Drosophila melanogaster: one gene and its partners. The protein of the gene in region 2 purifies or fractionates together with the protein of the main gene of each other region. This does not show direct contact. Each region holds a gene or a part of one and is shown on either strand. Other genes may lie near its edges. The genes, in order: hiro, CG7239 and pps.

Region 1 (4,363 bases), on a different chromosome or scaffold from region 2:
CGATTATGCGCGTTGACTGTCAAGCGAATTCAAATCATTTCGTCACTGCTTTTCTCGCTTTTCTTTGGCCTTTCAATGCGCTTTGGCTCTATTCGCTTTCGTTTTCTCTTCCTAGGCACTCGATTTGTCTTCTGATTGTGATTTTCCAACTGGCCGTGCGCTGCACCTTGCGTATTTTCCGATGTCCGTGCGAACTAGACGACGACCCATACAAAAATAGCTGCCGCGTTATCTCGCGCAGTTTTCATTCTCTGCTCGCTCCCTCTCTCGCTCTCGCATGCGCAACGTGGGCAACTAGAACGGAAGGGAAGTCGGCGTGTGCGAGAGTGTGTGTGCGTGTGACCAGCTGAGAGGGTGCAACTGCGCATGCGACAACTTTACTGTTACTTTCGCCATGTGGCAACTCTGCAGGCGATCGCTTTTTAAGTAGAGTAAGATTAATGAGAACATACATATGTATGTATGTATTTTGTTTTCAGTTTAAGAATGAATTGATTTCACAAGATCTGCAACTAACTGCACTGTAAAATATAACTATAAAGTCTTTGCGAATTGTAATCAATATTTAATTTAAATTAATCGAACCACCACCAATTGGAAACCCACGAGTCCATACATTTCGAAAATAATCTTTATTTTAACGCTTTTCTCCGGCTAATTTGTTTAACCGAATTTGGTGAAGTGTCGCAGGATGTGCGACATGGCCGCGGGATTATCGGCAGGAACCATGTGACCAGCCCGGTTGACCCAAAACATGCTGAAGTTGCCATAGGTCTTCTCGTAACCCTCGAGAACTCGATCTACGGTGATTCCCACGCGCGGAGAGACCTGGTAAGATGGCTTGGCGGACCATTCCATTGCTTCGATCCAGTTGACGGCTCCCGGAGTGGCGCAAATCAGGTCCAGTCCTCCGGAGAACACGCCCACTTTTACGGTGGTGTTGTTCAGCAGTTCACCCACTAAAAGTGTCATAAGGCTATAATTTGAGGTAGCACCCAGACGGTTGAAACATACCAACATCCACAGCTGGCTTCATGAAATCGCCCATCAGCTTGGTGAAGGTGGTGCCGCTCTGGGCGCCCCATTTCACTCCGGTGTTGATTCCGAGGGCCTCGGTCACGGGTCCAAGCATTAGATCCTCCAGCAATTTGTCGCGGTCCTCATCCACATCGAATTTCACGAGGGTGCGATACATGACCTCTGGATAAGTGGTTGATGAGAATCAGCTCGGTAAGTTACGCAACGGATCTTACCCTCCGGAGTCATGGCAGCTCTGGACATCAACCTGTACTGATCACCCAATGTTGGGGTCTCCACGTTATAGAAGTCCACTCCCTTGGACTCGCGCAGCACCACTGACTGGGTGGAGCTCCACTGCAAAGTGGCCTGTGTCCACTTCTCGCGGTCAACATAGTCCTTAGTCTTCAGGGCCGAAGCTTCAATCTTGTCATGGCCATCCTGATCCACGATTCCCAACTGCAGCAGGAAGGGAGCCCACGAGAGCACAGAGTCTATGGGTGAGGTCCAGGGATCTCCCAAGGCCACCGAAACAAAGTTGCTCTCGATCTCACCGCGCTTGATGGCGTAATCCAACTCCAAAGCGAACTCCGGGGCCATCTTTCCGCCATAACTCTCGCAGAAGATGTGCAGCGGCACAGTCTTGAATTCCGGGTGGTTTGTGTAGAAGCCCTTCATCAGCTCAACGAGATCCAGGGCGATCTGCTTGTTGTTGGTCGTGTAGTAAGAAGATCCGTCCACGTAGCTGAAACCACTGCCCACGGGATTGTCGATGAACATCACGTTCATGTCCTTCACCCAAGTCCAGTCGCGGTAGCTGCCGTCGAGCTTCAGGGGACCCAACTCCTCAAAGTTTCCGTATCCCGTTGAGGAGGCACCTGGACCTCCTTGGAGCCAAATGGCCAGCGGACGCTCCGTGTAACTGGAGACATTGGCGGTGGTGTAGTACAGCCAGTAGAACATGTGGGCGCCAGTCCTGACATCCACAAATCCCCAATCCTGATCACCGGGTCCATAGCCCTTGCGTGCTGAGAGTATATTGAATTATAGCTCATTTCGATTAAATAGTTATTAATATACAAAGCTCTTTGATTTTGTAATTTCATGATAGCCCCTGATTTCTAGGGAACACTTGAGAAATCTAGCCTTTAAGTATATTAAACGGCTGCACGAGTAGCCATTTAGATAAGATTAATTGTTATAGATAGTGTAGATAGTTGATTGTATTGTCTTATAACAAACCGAATAGCGGTTGGTCACTGTATCTTTTACAATGGTAATAAGGTCTGTCCCCAAACGATTCATAAGTATTTCAATCTACGGATATAAAAGTAGGTAAAAAAGTCTGTAACAGATAATTCTGTTGGCCTGTTCTACAAGTCGTAAAGAACCGTTTGTTTTGGAACACTTTCTCACTGATTAGCACCCCTAATTGGAATACAAATCACGATTCTCACCGTCAACGGAAGCCAAGCCGGCAAATCCCAGTAGGGCCAAAAGTGCGATGATAGCGCGTCCAGCCATGTTGCACCAGTGTTTCAGTTCCAATTCCAAGAGACACCGATCGAGAGACAACCGCACACTTGGCAGTTCCACTGCCAATTGATCGCTGGTTGCTCCCAGACATCGAAGGTAAAATAGCAACAGCCAGCACCTGACACACCTGGAATTCGTAATCTGCGGGCAGGGGAACTGTGTTTGCAGAGTATTTATGGCCCTTCGCTGGACGGTGACGCGGCTTTTTGGTCAATCTGTGCTTGTCACTCGTCCGATTTGCCGAATCTTTGTGTCATATATTTAGATAGAGCCTATGAAGCTCCAAAATCATCGCAAAGATTGCACTTTGCTATCTTGAGTGGGTTTTCCGAGGGCTTTTCCTATTATTTTTCGGTATCACTTGCGGTTTATCCCACGTGACATGCGTGAAAGATATCTAAGGTGTCTCCCAAAAACTCTTTTTAAATCATCAGCATTCTTTGATTGATTGACTATATTATTTTTAGGTGTTCATATAATCATATATGCATCAATTCTGGGCATTGCTTTTTAAAGAGCAGATTAAGACATACATTTGACATTTATCAAAATAACTAATAGGATAACTTCCCCAGCTTCTATAAGCAAAAAATCCATTACGATTTACATTATATACTTTCAGTAAAACACTCCTCTATTTTTAGACGAATATAGTATACAACTGGCTTGCATACTGAGTTTATTATAATTCAATTTAAATGAATTTAGCCAAATGAGGTAAACTCTCGAAGTACATGACTCATAGCCGCAGGGTTGTCCGCCGGAGCCATGTGACCACTTCGGTTGATCCAGAACATGGTAAAGTTACCGCCCGTCTTTTGATAGCCCTCCAAGATGCGATCCACCGTGATGCCATTGCGTGGAGCAGCCAGGTACTCGTCCTTTCGGCTCCAGTCCAGCTTGGCTATCCAGTTGACGGTGCCCGGTGTGGCGCAAATCAAATCCAGGCCACCGGAGAATACGCCGACCTTCAGAGGAGTCTTCTCCAGCAATTCGTTCACTGTCATTCAATGGATGTCAGACGCTTTCGTTATATAAGAAGTAATATCCCTACCAATGTGGATGACTGGCTTCATGAAGTCCGTTCTGTGGATGTCAAAAGTGGTCCCACTCTGCGATCCCCAGATGACATTCGAAGGTATACCCAGGGTTTCCGCCACCGGGCCCCGCATCAGATCCTCCAGTAACTTGGTTCGATCCTCATCAATATCGTATTTCACCATGGTGCGATACAGACGTTCTGCAGGGAAATATCATGGTTTGAAAAATATCGTATCGAAGTATTTGGTTCACCTTCGGAGGTCAAGGCCTTTGATCTCTGGTAGAGACCACCCTTTGTCTCCTTCAGCACGTTGTAGAAGTCCACACCCTTGGAGGCTTTCATCACCTCCCACTGGGTGTTGCCCCACTGATAGGTGGCCTGAATCCATCGCTCCTCCTCCACCAACTGAGCCGTGAAGTTCGCTGCCTCTTGAATGGCATTGTATCCCGCGTGGTCCACGATTCCCATTTCTCTGAGAAAAGGTCCCCATGCGAGCACGGAGTCGATGGGCGAGGTCCATGGATCCCCCAAAGCCACCGAGGTAAGGTTGCTCTTGACCTCACCACGCTTCTTGGCGTAGTACAGTTCGAGTGCAAACTCCGGCGCCATCTTTCCACCGTAACTCTCGCAGAATATATGCAGCGGCACCTCCTCGAACTCTGGATGCAGGGTATAGAATCCCTTCATCAGCTCAACCAAATCTAGAGCGATCTCCTTATTGGTGGCCGTGTAAAAGGCCGTGTTGTCCACGTAGCTAAAACCACTGCC
Region 2 (4,220 bases):
TTGCCATTAGGAGGGCGTCTACCTTCACGGCTTTAAAAGTAAAGATAACAAAGATTTTTACTTTCGATTTCTAACTATATTCTTTCAACTTCAAGAAGAAGATTGAGATGGGATAAGTATCTAGCATTCCTATTTCAATTTTTATTTGATGAAGATCGTTTGTTTTTTGTAATTGTATGCACTTTTAAAGATCCTGCCGATTTTATAAACATTGACATAAACAATCCATCCACAAGGGCAAAGACCCTAGAATATTCTATTCTAGTGTCTTTGACAAGGGTGTATGCTAGTCTCCTTTAATAAAAATGTTGCATACTTTTCAGCGCTGTTTAATCTTAAAATGTTATTTTACATTTGGTGCTCAGTGCCTCGATTTTAAGTTATTTTTCTATTAAATAATTATAAAATTCTTTGCTCCAAATAATATTATTATATAACTTTGCAGAAATCGATTGTGAAAATATAACCCTTCGGTTTCAAAACTCGAAAATCGATAAAAAAAAAGCAATAATCCAGCGATTTTCGTTATTTAAATATATTTATTATTTAAGTTTACTTTTTAATCTTACAAACAGTTTTGCATGTTTTTTGTTAAGTTTCGTGGCACCGATCAGCCTGCGAAGCGGCATGTTGCAGCAATCCAGTATCTGAAAACCAGTGTTCGTGCACTGCGGTCCAAAATTGAGGTTATGAAAAGTCGGAAAAGGAGTTCACTGCGGCCGCTGGGCCGTAGGATGCTGATGCTGCTTCTGCAGCTGAAGGACGTGGCTCAGAATCTGCGCCTGCTGCTCAAGACACTTGGGGAAGAAGGTCTGCATGAGGTCGACCTTGCGTTCCTCCAGCTCCAGTCGCTGCCGACATATCTTGGTTTGTTCGTAGAGCAGCTGGTTCTTTCGCCGAACTTCCTCCATGTAGAGCGCCTCCAGCGAGTCTGCGTGTGGGGGATTCACAGATCCGAATGGACGACCGCGCTTCCGTGGCACAGGGACGGGGGAGGCGCCAACGACGGCGTTGTTGGTGGTCGAAACTGGAGCTGCAGCCGGAACCGATGCCGATACCTGTGCGGGCACCGGCGCTGGCATGCCTCCGTTTGCGTTTGTGGCCACGCTGATGGTGTTATTGCTGCTATTGATATAGGCTACCGCCGTTATGGGCTGATGGTTGACGGTCGATGTGGCCGCAGTGCTAATAACGCTGTTGTTATTGAATTGAGCCGGCTGCTGCTGAAATTGCGACTCATAGTTTGTTTGGAACTGCTGCTGTTGTTGCTGCTGCTGCTGCAGTTGTTGCTGCTGCTGTGGCGTCTGCAGCTCGAGCAGCTGAGCCGGCTCGGCTGGGGAATACTGTTGCAACTGCTCCTGAAAGGGAATGGAGCGGTACTCATCGTCCTCGTACTCCTGCTTGACCACCTCGTCATACTGGTCCGTAAACAGCTCCGTGTTGAAGCTAACTCCGCCGCTGGTGTTGTTGTTGTGGCTGCTGCCGTGATTGCTATTGCTGCTGCTATTGTAATAGGTGGCAGTGCTTGGCTCACTGGCCAGTCCCAAGCCTTGCTGCTGCTGCTGCTGAACGGATTGCTGCTGTGGCTGCTGCTGCAACTGCTCTGCGGACGCATCATCCCGGGGCGGTGTCATGTCGCGGTTGTTGAGCAGCGCCTCTGGCGGCAGCGGATCGGCGTTCTTGGGCCTGTGCAGGTTCTTCAGGATGCGATTGATAATGTCGTACTTCTTCCAGCGCGTAGCATAGCTCGAAGGATCCGCCTGCAGCTGTTTTTTGACTTGCCTTAAAAGGGAAACCAGTCAGTTAATCCGGTATAGCAAAGTGTCTAAACGGTTACCTACCTGAACTTGGCCCTGGTCTGGTTGACCTTCATCTGGATCTCCTCGGGCTTCACGTCCACGGCGAACCGGTCGCGCAGTTCCTCGGCCCACCGGCCAAAGAAGATGGTGTTCTTGCCGGTGCGCGTCAGGCGCCAGTTGTCGCGTCCCCAGATCTCGTACAGGCGCTCCTCCTCGCTGGGCGTCCAGTAGCGACGCGCCTTCTCCTTGCCCCTGCCATCGAGCAGCTCCTGACCACCGCACATGCCTAAGTCCTGCTCGGCACCGCTGCCGCTTCCGCCCGCGTTCAACGCCAGCTTCTCGTAGTCCATCGACTGCTCTGCACCGGCTCCTGATCTGCTCCCGCAGATGTATCCCTGTAACGTTGCCTTTGGATATGCGATCTCCACTCTAGTTACACAATGCGACGCTGTGGTAGAATGGTTGAAGCCAAGTGCAGTTTTTCCGCACAAAAAATCAACAACAGCTCTGATACACAGAAGAGTGTGACCTTGCGGCGCGAGAACGCCGAAAATGCCTAGATTCCTGAGCGAATTTCCTGAAATAAGTAATATAATAAATTTCATTTAGTACCATATCAGTATCATGTATATACTACAGCTGGGAGAATGGCTTTGGGGCTAGTCCAATATTAAGAAATAAAATTATTAAGATATTAGATATATCTTTTCCAGATTTCAATAGCTCTATAAGAAAATTTAAATCATTGATGGTATTTTTTGGCGCCTGCCGCGCTCAAGCGTTATTGGTATTTCCACGCCTGGTCCTTGGTCACGTACGAAAATGTTTGGATTATAACGATTCCACAAAATTGAAATTAGACCGGAATATGAGCGGCCAGAAGCACCTGCGATTGCGCTACTACACGTCGCTGGAGGAGGCCATGCTACTGCGGCTGTGGCGCGAGCACCTGCATGCCATACCCTCCTACACGGACAACCTGCCCATTTTCCGGGAAATCGCGCACGGCCTGCAGCAGAACGGAGTTCGGCTCAATAAGCAGGAGGCTCGCCGGCGCATCAACAGCTACCGCAACAAGTATTTGTGAGGCGCAGCAGCGGCTCGGGTCAGTTCACAGTGCTAATATCTCCTTCCACTTCTCTGCAGGAACGATCGCAATCGCGTGGGGGGCAATGCGAACTTCGCGAAGGATTGGCGTCTCTACGCGCTGATCGATTGCCTCTTCTGTCCTGCCTGGCCGTCGTCCGCCCTCTTCCATTTCCGCAATGTGCTGGAGACGATCCGTGCGACAGCACGTGTGGATTTGCCCGCCCTGCCGCCACTGCTATACACTTCGCCCGCCCAGCTAAAATTTGAGCGCGACTCAGAGGGATGCACCTTCCTCGATGCCCAGCCCCTAGTTCCCGCAGTAGTGAAGACAGAGCCTCTGCCAGACGAACACCACCAGCTGGTGAATATTGAATACAAGCCCACAGTGACGCAGCTGGAAAACGCGGCTAGCCACTACCTGGAGAGAGCTACTGCCGAAAGTGTCATTCAGCGGTCGCCTCTCACGCCTGCCAACCACATCCTGCCCGAGGCAGAGGATGCGCCATATGGAGGCCACACCAACGGTGGCCAGACGGACGCCGAACGTTCGGCGAGCAAAAGGAGACGAGGGCGACGTAGTATACTGCCGCACTCGGGCAAGATCACAATGGCAATAGTGGAGGCGCTGCGCAAGGAGAACAGTTTGCTCGAGCAGCAGAACGACGCCTGTCTGCAGTCGCTCGTGCGCAAGGAGAAGCAGTTCCTGGACATGAAACATAACTTTCTGGCGTATATGGAGCGGCAGGAGGCAGTGCTGGCGTTAATAAAGCAAACGACCATCAAGCTGGAACCATGATCCCGACTACTAGCACCACGTGGTAAGGACATTGTATGACAGCTTTAGCTTTAAGTTGGGAATAGAGTCGCGGCGCTCGACCCTGTGTATGTTTTTCAATTCGTTCCTTTCTCAGACACAGATGTCTAATTCACTCGACGTACAAAGCAGCAGCATAGCGAACCGAAGATATTATAATTTCTCAAACGTTCTTTTTCTAGCGTCATAAGTGTAATGTGTATGAACAATCGTCTGTGCAAAAGATCAATCTATACGGTCTTTAGTCTTAAATTAAAAACATTGTCTTGAGGCGAACTTGTATGGTAGCTACATTTTTAAAAAAAAAACTAAAACTAAACAACTGGCTAAAAAATAAATTAGATGAAAGACTATTATACTATATATATATACTATACTATATAGACTATACTATTATTTCTATTGTTACAGAATATCTTGTTGATATAATAGTAACGAAATCAAACATAAATTCAAATGAAATCAGTGTGAATAGCCTATTAAGTTTTGCATTTCGATCAACTTAGCGTGTGCAACAA
Region 3 (8,056 bases), on a different chromosome or scaffold from region 2:
GCGCTTCTTCGTAGAAGGGAACTGGCTCCGCGGTCTGCAGCGCTGGTGGCAACTTATCGCCGCTACCCAAGGGGAATATGTAAAAGTCGCGTATCTGATCCGAGTCCACGCCCAGGACGCCCAGACGCTGACGCGAGTCCAGGTATTCGAAGAAGAGATCAAACTTATACGTTTCGCTGGGCGAGGCGGGGAATATGTTCACAATGACCACTTCCTTTGTGGGACTCTTCTTTAGCTTCTTGATATATTCCCAGACATTAACGCGGGTTATGCGACCGATTACGTCCATCTGACTTGGCATCAGGTTACCCAATTGATGGCAGTTACCCTGCACGGGGTACATGACGATTTCGAAGTCGGCCAAATCGATCATCTTGAGAGTACCGGACCACAGTGAACTCGTCGTCAGGCCGTGCAAGTAGCGGGAGTAGTTGTCCATTGGCTCAGGTGCCTTCAAAGAACTCGGAAGCGTTGGAAGTGGCTTGGGTGACGGCTTTGGTTTGCCTAGATTCGCCGCCTGCTCGACTGTTTTCTCCGATTCCAGAATTTGATCAACCAAGTTGTAAGCACTCGCCTCGGTTTTCTTTTCCGCCGTCTTTTTGGGTACCGGCGATTGGTCGTTTTCGTCCCTCTTCTTGGGCAAGGGTGATGGAACGATCTCATCCCTTTCCCGGCTCTGTTTCTCACGCGATCTATGCTCACGCTCCCCGCTGCCTGGCTGCTCTCCTCCTTCGTTGTGCTGCCTGCGATGGCGCTTATCGACGCTTCGACCCCGACTATTGGAACGACTTCGACTGCGCTTTCGATGATGATGCTTGTGGCTCTTGTGTCGCTTTTCCTTCGATGAACCCGCCTTTTCCCTGGACGTGGAACGTTCCAGTGTGGAGGTAGACGGCTCACTGACCAGCGACGTCTGTTTTGTGTCCGCCATAGATGATGCTTCACTAACGTTCTCTTCGGGCAGCGTAACATCCACTTTGGTGGCGATTACCTCCTCTCCCTTGTGTGTTTTCACCACATAGTTTTGGGCACATGCCAACAAGTCCAGCTCCGATTTCTTGATCATATCCAACTGGTGACGGTTTTCCTCCTCCCGCCACTTGGCCAACTCTTGGCTGGCCAGCTGTTCCGGCGTCATCCGCACCAACTGCCTGGGCTCCACTTGCTTGGCACAAATCTTTTCGAAAAGCGTTCGGTTCTTGCGATCCTTTATGTTGAACATAAGCGATCGATACTTGGCCTTGTACTTGGCTCCCACGTCTCGGCCAAACGAGTTGAACATTTCCAGCTCCACGTTCTTGACAAACTGATCCACCTCAAGTACGGTCGGCCACTGAGTCGTTGGCTGGCCAGAGTTCTCCTCGGCAGCCTGAGCTTCTTTGATTCGCGCTAGTAGTTGCTCCCTGAGTGATCGCCGGATGCCGATTCGAACCGGCTCGGGTTTGCCCGCTGCGATACGATTAGGGGTTGGCGCCTGTACTGTAGGTGTTGTCTTCTCTTTATCCTTTTTGGCCAAAGGACGCACGGAAGAGATTCCAAGTTGGTGGCTTGCCTGAACTGTGGTGTTTTGGGGATGGGACAATTTGGCAGGACCTTCAGGTGGCTTTTTTGCAACTCCTAGCACGGCGGGTTCTGAAGTTGAGGTGGCGGCTTCCGGTGCCCCTTTCAGCAAACGCTTCTCTGCGTCGGCTGACTGAACGGTTCCTGAGGGCAGCACCTCGAAGGAGGGATTCTCCTGAAGCCATTTCCGAAACTGATGTGCAGAAGGGGCCATGTGCCCGGTGATAACCCGACCACTTTTACGCTCAAACACATTAATCTGCAAAGCAAAGTGTGCACATTATTTGTTGTATAGTTCTAATTAAATTAACCTTTATTGCATACCCGTTCCACTTTTGACACAGTGTCCGCTTGCCTCAGCACGTCCTCAAACAAGTCCTTCTTCTTGTTCTTTTTGGCATCGAAGGAGTTGTTCAGCAAAGACTGAGCACCGGCATTCTGTGGCAATGGGCCTTTGGTAGCAGCATGTGCTTGAATTGCACTTTGGGCATACTTCCGGATGCACTCTTCGCCACAATAGACGGAAGAGGTGCTCGCCGGTCGCTTGCAGACCACACATAACGTCTCCGAAATTCGTTTGCCAGGTGATGGGCCCAGTCTGATAAAGTTCAGCTGCTGCTGCTGCTGGTGAGAGATTGCACCGGTTGGGAACTTTTTGGCCGGCTTTGCCATTGGAATACGCATGGGGGAACTGGCTACAGTTAAGACCACCGGTAGTGTTCTTCTGGGAGCCGAAGGAGCCGCGACCTGAACAATTTCTGCTGTCGTAGTTAGTACTTTGGTTTCACTCGGCCTCTGCTCAGGTTGAGTGGTTGGTCTGGTGACCAACATGTCTGTTATTCGTGGTTGGCTCTACAAAGATAACGAATCAATAAAAGGTAACTTTATGTCTATTGTATGACTTTACCCTCTCCTCCTGCCTTTTAACGCATTTGGGGCACTTCCAGTCGATGCCCTTGTTTTCCATATCTGTGCCCATCGCCTTGGTCACCCCCACGCATGTGCCGTGGAACCAATCCTCGCACAAATCGCAGCAGATCATGAAACGATTGTTGTGTGGCTGACGACAAATGCACCAGAGCCTAAACCAAAAAAAAAAAAAAAAAAACAAAAAAGGTTTTCAACAAACGCACAGATTTGCATCTATGAAATATCCAACTATAATCTTACTTGTTGGGGTCATCGTCATCCTCCTGAGACTCTGAAGCGTCGGGATCATTGTTCTGACTTGCATCAAGCTTCTTTGATCTTCTGGGTGCCGTTGAACGTCTGGCCATCGATGGCTCTCTAGGATTGGGTCGTTTCGGCCCACTTCCCGGCTGGCTGTCATTGCTCAGGCTGCTGGTATTGAGCGGCTGATTGATGCTCGCATCCAACGAAGATTCACCAAACGACAGGTTGCCTGCATCACTGGAACTGGTCGCAGCCATGCCCGGAGCTGAAGGAAACTGTGCTCGTCGCTTGGCCCGCGTGGTGGGGGCTTCAATGGGAGGCAGGTATATGACCCGACCGTAGCCGCGCACAACCTTCGCGGAGGTGGGCGGAGTGCTTGCTGCCACGCTCCTCGAGGGTGTACTGCAGGCAATCGGCAATGAGGTCATCGATTGTGCGGGCTCCGTAAGACTTGCATTCGGCAGTAGGTTCGTGTGTGCCTGTAAAGGAGCAATGCAGTTAGCTAGCAAAATCAATAACCAGGATATTCTACACTTGCCTGTACTTGCGGCACGTCTACGGGCTCAATGGACGTAGGCATAGATACGATGGCGTCCAGGGTTCCGGGCTCTGTACTAGCCAATACTTGCTTAACCACCTCGGCCTCAAACTGTTTGTCCTCCTCGATGAGACCGACCACGTGCTGGAGAAAATCAGCTGTAATCTCATCCTCATTCGCCGTATCCATTATATTATTCGGATCGGCTGCAGCTGCATTTCCCACTCCCTGCATCTCGGGAGCTGGAAAAATATTCGTAGGCAAGGACACTGGTGGCGGATCTAGATCCGCCGCTGTACTCTCCAGCATCTTAACCAGTTTCGGTATATCCTCGTCCGCATTTACTACCGGCTGCTCCACAAGCGTGGACTTAAGTAGCTCGTCCTGCACAATCGAGTTGATCAGATCGAGCTGCTTGTCATTTTCTGCTGCCAGCTCGGAGGAACTCTGGTGCGTCTCGATTACTATTTGGGCGGGCAGTTTATGCGACTGAGCTGTGTCCACGCCGATGGGCATGAAGCCCTTGGATGGGGTATGTGCCTGAGCAGGAACCGGAACCACAATTGGCGACATCTGCTGATTGTAGCTCGATCTCGGCGTGCTTGGCGACATGACGGCCCGGTGTCGGAGTGGAACTGGCGAAGATTTTGTGGCTGCATTGTTGTCCTCACCCAGCAAAGTGTTGAGATTGGTAAACACTCCTTTGGGACTGGCCATATTCTTGTTGATAATAATCTCTTTAACTTCCTGCGGCGAGTTTACGATCCTTCCCAATTGCACGGCAGGCATACGACGAACATTGGAATTGGCCGGTGTCGTTGGCAGTGGAGGTCTCTTCACAGGCAGCGATTGATGTGTGGGCCGGATTTTGAGAAACGATGTGCTTGGAAGACCTCTGCCTAGGGCAAACACTGCGGGCACTGATTTTGTGGCAGGCATCTGGATTATTTGCCCAATTTGCGGCGCCTTCGGCTCCAAAACTTCCTTGCGTTTCTTCAGCTCGGGGAAGTGCTGCGGCGTTGTGGGTGGCGGAGGCAGCGGCTTCATTGGTTTGCTGGGAGTCTGCCTAACCACCTTTCTAACCCGCTTCCTCTTATTCGGATTACGTCTATTGCTATGCCTCATATCGAAGTCCATGTCACTGTCCCTGTCGTTGTCCGATTCCTGGAACTCATCGCTCTCCTCACTCATTTCCTCCGAATCATAGGCCTTGTCGGCATTTTCCTCTTCGGCGGAATCCGAGCTTTGGGCGTCATCATCATCTTCGATGTATTCCTGCACAGGCGGAGCAATCACTTTGACTGGAGCACGAGTGGGCCTCAGCCTGGCATTGACCGAATTGTTCGCGATAATCTCTGGCTTCTGTCTTGGCAGTGGCGAATGGATGGGCTTGCGGATCAGCTGCACTTTCGGTTGCAGCTGCGCTGCCTGCTGAACTTGGTGGGGCTTGACTGGCAGTCTCTGGACCTTGACCTGCACCGGGCTTAAGGGTATGGCCTGGACTCGTTTTTTGGCATTGATTAGCTTGACACTGCCCGGTGCCTGCATTATGATTTTGCGGCTTTGGGCCTGCATTTCCATGGCCATCTTCTCATCGCGCTTGTGGTTCTTCAGCTGCTCTGGCGAGGTAAACGGTGTGTAGTTGTGGTCATTTCGAATAACTTCCATAAGAGCGTCTGTCTCCGCAGTCCTTTTGTAGACGGAAACTCCGGCAAGCTCTGTAAATAGAATACAAATTAGTTGAAAGCTAAAGTTCGTTTACTTTCGTTGTGCTCGAAATAATGATGTTGTTTTGCTTTATCATTTGGACCACATCGATGTACGTTATTTACTCAGTGCATTTTTCACAACCATATCAGCCGTGTTGTCCGCATAAAACTGCTCCACTCGCAAACCCACAATTTGTGGACGCTCCTTGGGTTTGCGTCGCTTTCGCTTTTTGATGGCCTTGGGCTTTCGGCCAACTCGCTTGCGTGTGCGCGGGGCATCGGCTTCCGTCTCCGTGGAGTCGCTATTGTTGTCGTCACCGGTGTTATGGTTCTCCTCGTCGTGTTCATCCATCTCACTGGCATTATCGCCACCACTTTGGCTGCCATTGTCACTGTCCAGCTCCGAGTCGGTGGCAGTTTCCATAAAGTTCGCCAGCTCCTCCAGCCGTTCGTCTTCCTCTTGGTCCACCATGCTCGGCGTGGGCGATGTAATCCGCACCACGCTAATGGTGGAAATCGATTTTTCCTCTGCAACAAGCCCATGTCAGTGTGGGGAGCAATGAGCGTGTGTCAGGCCTATTGGACCCACTTACCCATGATGTTCCCAATCGCACGCTCGTCGAAGGAGATTCCGCTCTTGCTGTAGACCACAACCAGATTGGAGTCGGCTTCGGCTGCCGCCGGCCGGGCGCTGGGCGCCTCCGTAAACACCGAACTGGACATGACGCCAACTGCTCGTGATCCCCGCTAGCGGCGCATTGGAGTCGGCGGCCCACACAGCGTGTACTTAATTAGCTTGGAACAGAACAACGACTCATTTGTTGTTGCATCCGCCGCGTTGTGACGCCGACATTGAAATTGGATAGTAGGTGGAAAACGGTCACTGGGCTGCGTTCGCCCTATACTTAATACTGGTGATGCTCTGCTGGCTGCGCCCACAAGCTGGCTGTTATATTGTTGAGATTCGAGAGCTTAATCCGTTGCTGTTTCGCTTTAAAATGCAAATTTTTCTCAATTATGAAAATAAAATTTGCAAAAAAAGCCACTTCCAGTGTGACCAGACTTGGGAATGATGCCGATGCTGTAGGTTATCGATAGTTTCTGTGCCTCGCTCTGCGGAACTAGTTTCAATTGCTAGCTCATTTGAACAAAATGTTAATCTGTGTTTATTTAGGGAAATCCTTTATTTTCAAGGTCGGCTGCCAAAAAGGAAAACCGTATGATAAATAAATGAATTGAGCTAATTAAAAATATTAAAGAATATATTTAAAAAAATAAAATTCCCGATCGATGAATTGTAATTTAAGCTTGTTTTTTTTCGCGTTCAGTTCTCGGTCATACTTTTGCGAAAACAGAAAACAAAAAACACTGATAAAACCCACATAATTTACTGCCTTTGTTAGCCCGGTTATTGGCTATTATCAGCTAATCTCACTTGCTCGAGCACTCATTGTTGTCCAGAGCGCCAGTTAAACTTTGTCCTCCGTCGCAACACCATGGCCGCCTTTCAGATGGGATCGGGTTACGCAGTGCCCATGACCCTCTTCCGGAACAACAGGGATCGTGCTGGCAAGGCCATCCTTAAGGAGCTGCTGCCGGGCCTCAAGTTCAACGACGGCAACCTGCTGGTGCTCCTCGAGGGCGGCAAGGACCAGAGCCTGTACAACACCGACGTGGACTACGTTTTCCGGCAGGAGTCCTATTTCCAGTACTTGTTCGGTGTCAAGGAGCCGGGCTGCTACGGCATCCTAACCATTGATGTGAAAACTGGTGCACAGAAAAGTGTTCTCTTTGTTCCTCGCTTTCCCGATGAGTACGGCACCTGGATGGGCGAACTGCTTGGGCTGCAGGAGTTCAAGGCCATGTACGAGGTGGACGAGGTGTTTTATGTTGACGAAATGAGTGTTTATCTGGAGGGGGCGTCGCCCAAGCTGATACTCACATTGAGTGGCACCAACAGCGATAGCGGGCTCACCCTTCAGCCGCCCGACTTTGCTGGCAAGGAGAAGTATGTGACTGACTGCAATCTGCTGTATCCAATTCTCTCTGAGTGCCGAGTGATCAAGTCACCCGAAGAGATCGAGGTGCTGCGCTACGTGGCCAAGGTATCCTCGGACGCGCACATCAAGGTGATGCGGTTTATGCGTCCCGGTAGAATGGAATTTGAGGGCGAATCCCTGTTCCTGCACCACGCCTACTCCGTGGGCGGCTGCCGGCATGCCTCCTACACCTGCATATGCGGCAGCGGAACGAACTCGTCGATCTTGCACTATGGACACGCGGGCGCACCCAACAGCAAGCCCGTCCAGGATGGTGATCTCTGCCTGTTCGATATGGGAGCCAACTATTGTGGCTATGCGGCCGACATAACCTGCACATTCCCGGCCAATGGAAAGTTCACCGACGACCAGAAGTTCATCTACAATGCCGTGCTGGATGCCCGCAATGCGGTCACAGAGTCAGCCCGTGACGGAGTCTCCTGGGTGGACATGCACAAGCTGGCGGGCAGGGTGTTGCTGCAGCGCCTGAAGGAGGGCGGCATGCTCAAGGGCGATGTGGAGGAGATGCTCGAGGCAGGTGTTTCGGGCGTGTTCCAGCCACATGGCCTGGGCCACTTGATCGGTCTGGATGTGCACGACGTGGGCGGCTATCTGCCCAAGGAGCCCAAGCGCCCCAGTGAACCGTGGCTGAGCAAGCTGCGCTTTGCCCGCATCCTTAAGGCCGGCATGTATGTCACAATCGAACCCGGCTGCTACTTCATCAACTGGCTGATGGACCGCGCTCTGGCCGATCCGAACATTGCTAAATTCATTAACGCAGAGATGTTCAATCGCTTCCGGAATTTCGGAGGTGTGCGCATCGAGGACGATGTGCTCATCACGAAGACTGGCGTGGAGAACTTTGCGATTGTGCCGCGAACGGTGGAGGACATCGAGGCAACCATGACCTGTAAATATGATTCGCCGGTTTAGAGCTTTTAAACTATATTCCACGCGTAAACATATGTAATATAATCTGTATCATAATCAAATTATGGAATACCCAATAAATAAATAAGGTCTCATCAGTTGACATC

What was found.
Region 1: the proteins of CG7239 (region 2) and hiro purify together in Drosophila melanogaster (affinity purification with mass spectrometry, with the first as the bait; one large-scale study listed by BioGRID). This does not show direct contact.
Region 3: the proteins of CG7239 (region 2) and pps purify together in Drosophila melanogaster (affinity purification with mass spectrometry, with the first as the bait; one large-scale study listed by BioGRID). This does not show direct contact.

Annotation. Positions count from the first base shown.
Region 1 is NT_037436.4:685,328-689,690, forward strand, and holds hiro (highroad), read right to left. Parts: upstream 2,632-4,363; 5' UTR 2,542-2,631; coding exon 2,475-2,541; intron 2,046-2,474; coding exon 1,254-2,045; intron 1,201-1,253; coding exon 1,015-1,200; intron 960-1,014; coding exon 664-959; 3' UTR 615-663; downstream 1-614. Other genes in the region: CG32483 (uncharacterized protein), read right to left, coding at 3,258-3,553, 3,608-3,793, 3,847-4,363.
Region 2 is NT_033779.5:5,800,334-5,804,553, reverse strand, and holds CG7239 (uncharacterized protein), read right to left. Parts: upstream 2,335-4,220; 5' UTR 2,150-2,334; coding exon 1,842-2,149; intron 1,783-1,841; coding exon 711-1,782; 3' UTR 524-710; downstream 1-523. Other genes in the region: CG14005 (uncharacterized protein), read left to right, coding at 2,668-2,882, 2,946-3,684.
Region 3 is NT_033777.3:12,411,804-12,419,859, reverse strand, and holds the start of pps (protein partner of snf), read right to left. Parts: upstream 6,033-8,056; 5' UTR 5,704-6,032; coding exon 5,574-5,703; intron 5,509-5,573; coding exon 5,104-5,508; intron 4,990-5,103; coding exon 3,272-4,989; intron 3,213-3,271; coding exon 2,731-3,212; intron 2,643-2,730; coding exon 2,468-2,642; intron 2,413-2,467; coding exon 1,885-2,412; intron 1,820-1,884; coding exon 1-1,819. Other genes in the region: Dip-C (dipeptidase C), read left to right, coding at 6,477-7,952.